Mus musculus: one gene and its partner. The protein of the gene in region 1 interacts with the protein of each later gene in a pairwise test. Links are inferred from orthologs where the notes say so. Each region holds a gene or a part of one and is shown on either strand. Other genes may lie near its edges.

Region 1 (3,727 bases):
AACAGAGGTCCTGAGTTCAAATCCCAGTAACCACATGGTGGCTCACAATCACCCATAATGAGATATTATACCCTCTTCTATCTGAAAACAGCTACAGTGTACTTATATCTAAATATTAGTAATAATAAATAGTTATATATAGTAAATTAATCTTGTTTTGTTTTGTTTTGGTTTTGGTTTTTTTTTTGTTTTTTGTTTTGTTTGTTTGTTTGTTTGTTTGTTTTCAAGACAGGGTTTCTCTGTATAGCCCTGGCTGTCCTGGAGCTCACTTTGTAGACCAGGCTGGCCTCGAACTCAGAAATCTGCCTGCCTCTGCCTCCCAAGTGCTGGGATTAAAGGTGTGCGCCACCACGCCCGGCTGTTTTTTGGTTTTTTTTTTGTTGTTTTTTTTTGAAACAGTGTTTCTCTGTGTAGCCCTGGCTGTCCTGGAACTCACTCTGTAGACCAGGCTAGCCTCAAACTCAGAAATCCGCCTGCTTCTGCCTACCAAGTGCTAGGATTAAAGGCGTGCGCCACCACTGCCCAGCAAATAAATACATCTAGAAAATATATTAGAAAAAAAAAAAAAAAGAAAGAAAGAGAAGAGCAGATGCCTCCCAGCAAAGACTGAACGTGAGCATCTAAATGCGTCCGTCGGGAGTGATCCACTCTGTCCTTTAAGCTGTTTTCCAAAACCAAACATGATTTAAAATAACATCAGCTTCTAGTTTTCTCCTCACCTGGATGCTGAGAACTGTGTATGATATGCCTGTGTAACTGACATATCCTTTTGTTGTTTTTGTTAAAACCCCTATGGGCTAGGTAAATGTAGCTGGTTGGAGGGCTGAATTTAATCCCCAGCACCCCAAATAAAAAATAAACCATCCTGTGGTACTTTTCTTCAAAGCAGATGTCCTATATAGTCTTGTGTTTCTCTTTGCAGCAAACGTCAGTGTTGGAAATGAAGGAAAGTGGGTACCAAACTGTAGTAGGAGGTGGGCAGAGGCAATTCATTTTCGTTTTAAGAGGGGAAAAGGCTCTTAAGAACTATGTAATTTATTCAGGGCTGTAGAGTAAGATCTAGGGGTACTGCCTTAGCCTGCTTCCCAGTTTCTGTTATAGTTCACCCTTGATACGTCACTGCTCTCCTATGATCAGAGTTCTCTGTAGCATCTCTATGGCATAAAGGCAGATGTCCACCTTGGCTAGGACAAATAAACCCATATAGGGCCAAGGTCAGTGTGACCTCCATTTTCTATTGTGAAATCTAAGCTGGCTTTCTTGGGTAACTGAGAGATGAGAGGCTCCCTATTAATACACACATGCACATGCCAAACCTTGTACACAAAAGCTAAGAATGTGGCATGGGGGGGTGGGGGAGTGGATACCTGAGAGCATGCATCTGGATGTGGAGGCCCCTCCTTTGTCCAGGTTCTGGAAAAGGTCATTAGATTACTGCGAAGGAGGTTGAATAGTGCAGAAATGAGATCTCTCTCTCTCTCTCTCTCTCTCTCTCTCTCTCTCTCTCGTGCATGTGTGCTAGTGTAGAACCCAGGGATCCATGCACGTTAGGAAAGCATGCTGCCACTGAACTATGCCCTCAATCTCAACATGTCTTTGAGTAAGAAAGTATACCCCAACAGAAGAGCATGCCAGCGCATTGTCATGTGCAAGAGTATTATGTTGGCATATGTCCCCACAGTCTATGGGTAAGAAGGCAAATAAGCCATCCCCCAATACTCACGTCGGCTGCCTTCTTCTCTGCTAGCTCCAGCTTCTCCTGAGCATCCTTTAAAGCTTCCGAATACTTGTCCAGCTCATCCTCTGTCCCTTTCAGCTTCTTCTGCATGGTTGCTAGTTCATCCTCTAGCTGGAGCCAGAGCCCAGAGAGTAACACACAAAGACATAAACACAACAGTGTATACTTGGACTCCAAAGAGCACTGAGCCCAGCCCCAGGAGAGACACACTTCTTCAGCCATGCTCCAGGCATCAGGCTATGGCTTCACCTCAGACCCTATAATGTCTGGCCCCAAGGTGACCAAGTCATCTGGTGCTTTAATGCAAGACTGTTGAATGATAAACATCTAGTGGGGAAGCTTATTTCTGTGATGTTACAGAGAGAGACAGAGAGACAGAGAGAGTTGGATCATTCCTTACCCTTTGCTTTAGAAGTAAGACATTCTTCAAAATGTGGTCTACTTCTACTTAAGTCCTGCAGGCACACTGTGGCTAGGAAGAGGCCACCGGCTTTCTCAAGGTCACATGACAGTGCAAAGGGGCTACCCTAAAGCAATGGTGCTCAGCCTTTCTAGTGCTGAGACCTTTTCATACAGTTCCTCATGTGGTGGAGACCCCCACGCATAAAATTATTTTCATTGCTATTTCATAACTGTTAATTTTGCTACTGTTTAAATCATAATGTAAGTATCTGTGTTTTCTGATGGTCTTAGGCAACCCCTGTGAAAGGGTTAATGACCCAAAGGGGTCTCAACTCTCAGGTTGAGAACTGCTGCCCTAGATGTTCAGGGGGAGGGGCTTCATTGAGACTGGGGCATTCCTCCCACCCAAAAAAGAAGCTGGCCCAGTGGTCACTGCCTCTCCCATGAACCCCCTGCCCCTCTGGCTGCCTTGAAACTCAGCCTCCTGAGTGCTGGGATTACAGGGGTGTGTGCCACCATTGCCTGGACCATCTCTGTCTTGCAACCAGCAAGTGGGAAAGGTCCATACCAGCACCTACCTGCTTGCTTCTTTCTTCTGCCTGTTTCTGCTCAGCTTCAGCTTGCTCAGCTCGGTCCAGAACATTCTCTTTGTCTAACTTCAGCATCTGCATCTTTTTCTTGATGGCCTCCATCATGAGCTGTGACCGTTGGTGGGCTCACCTGTGAACACTGGAGAACTGGAGGCTGGGGCCAGAGAGGAAGGGCTGCCACCCGGGTCACTCAAAGTTCCCCAGGTTTGAACCTTTATCTGTGCTTGCGGCTCCACCTCTTCTTCCTAACATGGTCTTTCTAGCTCCCTCCCATCCCTTCACTGTTCCCCTGGGGGAACACAGGGTCAGACACATTGATAGACTGACATCACCAGCAAGAAAAAAAAAATTGAGGAACAGCTGAGGCTGATTTTAGACAATGGAAAGTGGGGGTGGGGGAGGTTCTCCCTGACCTTGAAACTTTCCACTCGTTCTTGGCAGCTCTGTGGGTCCCTCAAAAGTAGAGGAACAGAAGAGGGGGGAACACTGAAGCACAGAAGGGTACTTTAGCAGTTCTCGCCACCAGAGGGGTCCTAGTAGCCTTCAGATCTCTCATTCTCCCCTTGGACTATATTGGATATGGACCAAACTCTACTGGTTTGGTCTTTGGATTCCTGGTATCTAAGGAGCGTGGTCAACAGTGACGATGGGAGGTCACTCATGATCGTTGACAATTCCCCCAGATTGACAGTTGGGATTGCTGGGCTATTTTGGGATTCTCTAATAGGCAAGGAGACATTAGTCTGTAAAGGCCATAGGATAAAGTTGAAGGCCTGGGATCTGAAAGGGTATCTCAGGGTGTCAAGTGGGATGAGAAACAAGGAGGTCACAGAACAGGATCACGTTTTCTCATAGCGACCTTAAAATAGAAGGTCTGACATACTGAAGACTGTCGCTTTCCTCTACTCCTCTTCAACTGCTCCCTCTGTGGCCCCCTCCCCAGCCCGCTGTCCACCATGCCATTATAGTGTCCACCAGCTCTACTTCCCCCAGTGTA
Region 2 (3,750 bases), on another chromosome or scaffold:
GCACAGAGCCCAGGCTGGTGAAGGAGACAGTGGACAAAACTGATGGTATTTAAACAAAAACTTCTGTATAACAAACAAGAGTGTAAGTGGCATGCTACAGACAGGGAGATTTATAAAGAGTTCTTAGAGCCCTTTAGTAAGTAAGGCAGAGGGCAGAGCATCTGCTGGAAAAAGCACACAGCCAGTAAAGTTCTTCCCTTGGTTCATGCACACTGCACTGTACAGGTGAGGGGCCAAGAGCCCAGGATTTCAAAGAAAGCAGTCTAATACTTACCAAAGTTTTGATTCAAAAGTTTGATCCCTCTAAATCCTGACAAAGGGAAATTAAGTATTAACACTGATGGCTGGGCATTCCACGCCTGCAATCTCAGCACTCTGAAGGCAGAGGCAGGCAGATCTCTGAATTTGAGGCTAGTCTGCTCTACAGAGTGATTTCTAGGACAGCCAGGGCTACGCAGTGAAACACTGTTTAGAGAGGAAAAGAATTAACATGGATTGAGAGGCAGAAGAAAAATAAAAGTGAGACTTTGGCAAGGTATCTGGATTTACACTCCAGCTTTGTCAATATAATCAGCTATTTGGCCTCAGCTGCCTAAAACAAGAAATTAGATGATTTCTCAACGAGTTCTAAAGCCCAACTCTAAAATTTACAAGCGAGCTAGGCATAGTGAAGAACACCTTTAATCCCAGCACTCTGGAAGTGGATGTGGGTGTGTGGGGGTGGGGGTGTCTCCAGGCTTGGGGCCAGCCTTGTCTACACAGAAAATTTCAGACCAGTCAGAATTATATATTGAGATGCTGTCTCAAAAATGATTAAAAAAAAAAAGCACCAGTGAAACACACATTTTTCTTTTCTGAGTTAGTTGGTCAGACAGACAGGCAGACACACACACAGACATACACAGACAGACAGACAGACAGACAGACACACACACACACACACACACACACGCACACACACGCCTTTAAGAGTTGCAACATGAAAGAGTCAAGCCCAACCTTTGGATGGTTAGTTACTTTTGTGGGTTTTGATCATTTATCAATTTCATACATTACTTAGTTTCCAGTCTCTGGATATTGCAAAGTCTTGCCTTGGGGGCTGGGGCAAGTTGTGCCTGTTTGCTTTCTTTCTGCCTCTACTAAGTGACTGTAAAGCATTAGACTGTAATTCAGAGGAAGTTGACAGGTCATCATCTCTAGCTCCCCTGACTATTTTTTCCAGTGTTTATTTCTTACTAAAGTTTTCATAAAGGCGTGCGCCACCACTGCCCGGCCATAAAATCTTATTAGTAAAAACCGACCATGCTCAAGTAGAGAAAGGATATTATCAGGGAAATGCAAGGCATTTCTGGAATAATCCAGGCACTGACTGCCATTTGGGAGAAATGGTACCGTTGAATCTATTCTGGGTGTATTTTGTAAGGATGTGCTGGTAAAGTCAAACTAGATACAAAAGTGCGGATGAGTGGAAGAAGAATGAAGTTTTCAGCAACTGGATGGATTATGTATGCATCTTAGAGGAGCCTGGCTGCGGGGTTATCAGACACCTTGGACAAGCTGGCATGGAAAACGCCTTAGGCATCTGGTAGACAGGGTCAGGCTGCTGAGTTCACCGTATGGTGTTCGGAGAAGGGCCGGGGCTGATATACACATTATGGGCTCAGCGGCATTTACGTGGGCATTGAGCCTTTGGAACGGGATGACTCCATCTATGTGATTTGTGCAGACAGAAAACAAGTCCGGTGTCACACTCCGCCAAAAAAGGCTGGCCCGAAACGAGTTAACTGTTGTCAAGAAAACAACAAAATCTTAAAGCACTCATAGTGAGGTGGGTTGACAAAGAGCCCCACAGCCGAGCTGTGGGTGGAAAACAAGTGAAGCGTTTCAGAAGGATGCAGACGCCCCGCGGGGCGTGCCAGGGTTGGAAGGAAAAGCACCAGCCGGGTAGCGAATGCTTCGGGGTTCCGAAGCACCGAGGCTTGGGACCCGTTCTCGCTCTCTGCACTTTGGAGGTGGAGGGGGACACTGATCAGCGATCCCACCGGCGGCGCATCCTCCCGGATGGGTGTGCGCTGCTCCCGGGCAGGGAGGCGCCGGGGGGCTACGTTACCAGCTCCGCCGAGGCAAGGCCAGGTCGGAGGATAGAGCGGACGGAGAGAACCCGCGGCGCCGGGCCTCGGAAGGGGCCTGTCCAGCGGCTCCGGGGAGGCGGACGCGGGCTGATGAGACCACCACTGCTGGGGGCGGCGGCGGCGCCAAGGCCGTTACCTGCTCCGCGCTGCTCCCGCAGCTGCCTCCACCCTGGACTTAAGGAAGCGCGGGCGTCGCCATGGAAACCACGCGGGGCCTCCTGGGATGGCTAGTTCGGGTGTGCGCACGCGTAGTACTTGGCACTGTGGAAAAGCCGGCGGAATGGCAGGGTTCGGGGCGGGGCACCAGTTGCGCGCATGCGTACTTGGGCCAAGGGCGCCTGGGAGGTCTAGATCGCAGAGAAGCTGGAACCCAGGCGGCTGAAGGAATTTATAGCTGACCCTGCTTTTTGCCGCAGTGCCAGGAAGGGAGAGGACTGGGGACAGAGTGTCCCTGTTAACTTGGTTTTATACATGGTGGTGCTTCTTGCAAAAACTAAATGCGAGCACAAAAACTGTGTTTGGTGTACAGTATTTCCAAGCCAACAACAGGCTAAGACACTCAGGTGGTAGAATTATAGCTGTTATTTTTGAGTTTGATTGTTAAAACTGGCATTTTTAATTGTAAATTCTTTGTTGCTAAGAAGGGTAAGAAGCTATAATAGCTTTATTAGTGTCATGCAAAACAAACAAACAAACAAACAAACAAACCTCCCAAAACCAGGGCTCTCACAGGAAGAGTTTATCCTGGAACTAAATATGAATGACCGTGGCCTGGAACACAGATTTATCTTACCTCAAATATCATGTTCCAACGTGGTAAACGTTTTGTAAAGTTTTAATAGTCGCAGAACAAATAAGTCACAAATCAAGCTACTTGTAAAGTATGTAAGCTGTGCCGTCAGATACCAAGCGGGTTACAGCAAAACAGGAAAATCTACAGGCCCCAAGTGCTTCAGGTGGGTGGAAGTGAGGGTCTGTCGGTGCTTGCAAAAGAATTTACCTGACGGTCCTGTAAATGTTATATCAATCACGGGCCCATACAGTGGCCAGTCCATTAAGGAGACTAAAGATAGGCCAAGGTAATTTGGCTTCAAACCTGTCACTTTCCATTTAGCCACAATTATGTAATCTACTAAGCTAATCAGATTTTAGGATCTCTAACACCGGTGTGGCTTTCTTCTGTGGGATTTCAGTTTCCTGGGTCCATTTCTCTTATTTTGTAATTTCTCTTCCCCGCTTACCTTTTGTTTTGGCAGCACTAGAGGTGGAACCCAGTACCTTAGGATTTTGATTTTTAATTTCCACCACATGGTCCATGCTGGCTTCTAATTTAAGGGGTTAAGTGATCCGCTTACCCCAGCCTCTCACGTGGCTTGGTCTACCAGGGTGAGCCTGGCCTTTTAGCTCACTTTTAAACTTGGTATAAATCTTTGTAAAACTTGATTTGGAAGAACTTTTGATGTATCAAAACCCTGTGATATATGTTATAAATAGTTCCTTCAGGTTGCTGAATACTTTTCTATATTTTTTACAGTCAGTGTCTCACTCCATACATAGACCAAGCTAGCCTTGAACTCATAGAAATCAGCCTGTCTCTGTCTCCTGAGTGCTGGGATTA

The links.
Region 2: the proteins of Tpm3 (region 1) and Lca5l interact in binary tests that used the Homo sapiens proteins (3 or more experiments, as listed by UniProt). The two-hybrid records come from large-scale screens. The link is inferred for Mus musculus from reciprocal best matches to the Homo sapiens genes TPM3 and LCA5L.

What each region holds. Positions count from the first base shown.
Region 1 is NC_000069.6:90,071,842-90,075,568, reverse strand, and holds the start of Tpm3 (tropomyosin alpha-3 chain), read right to left. Parts: upstream 2,919-3,727; 5' UTR 2,836-2,918; coding exon 2,719-2,835; intron 1,850-2,718; coding exon 1,724-1,849; intron 1-1,723. UniProt on the Homo sapiens protein: Binds to actin filaments in muscle and non-muscle cells. Plays a central role, in association with the troponin complex, in the calcium dependent regulation of vertebrate striated muscle contraction.
Region 2 is NC_000082.6:96,189,920-96,193,669, forward strand, and holds the start of Lca5l (lebercilin-like protein), read right to left. Parts: upstream 2,339-3,750; 5' UTR 2,269-2,338; intron 1-2,268.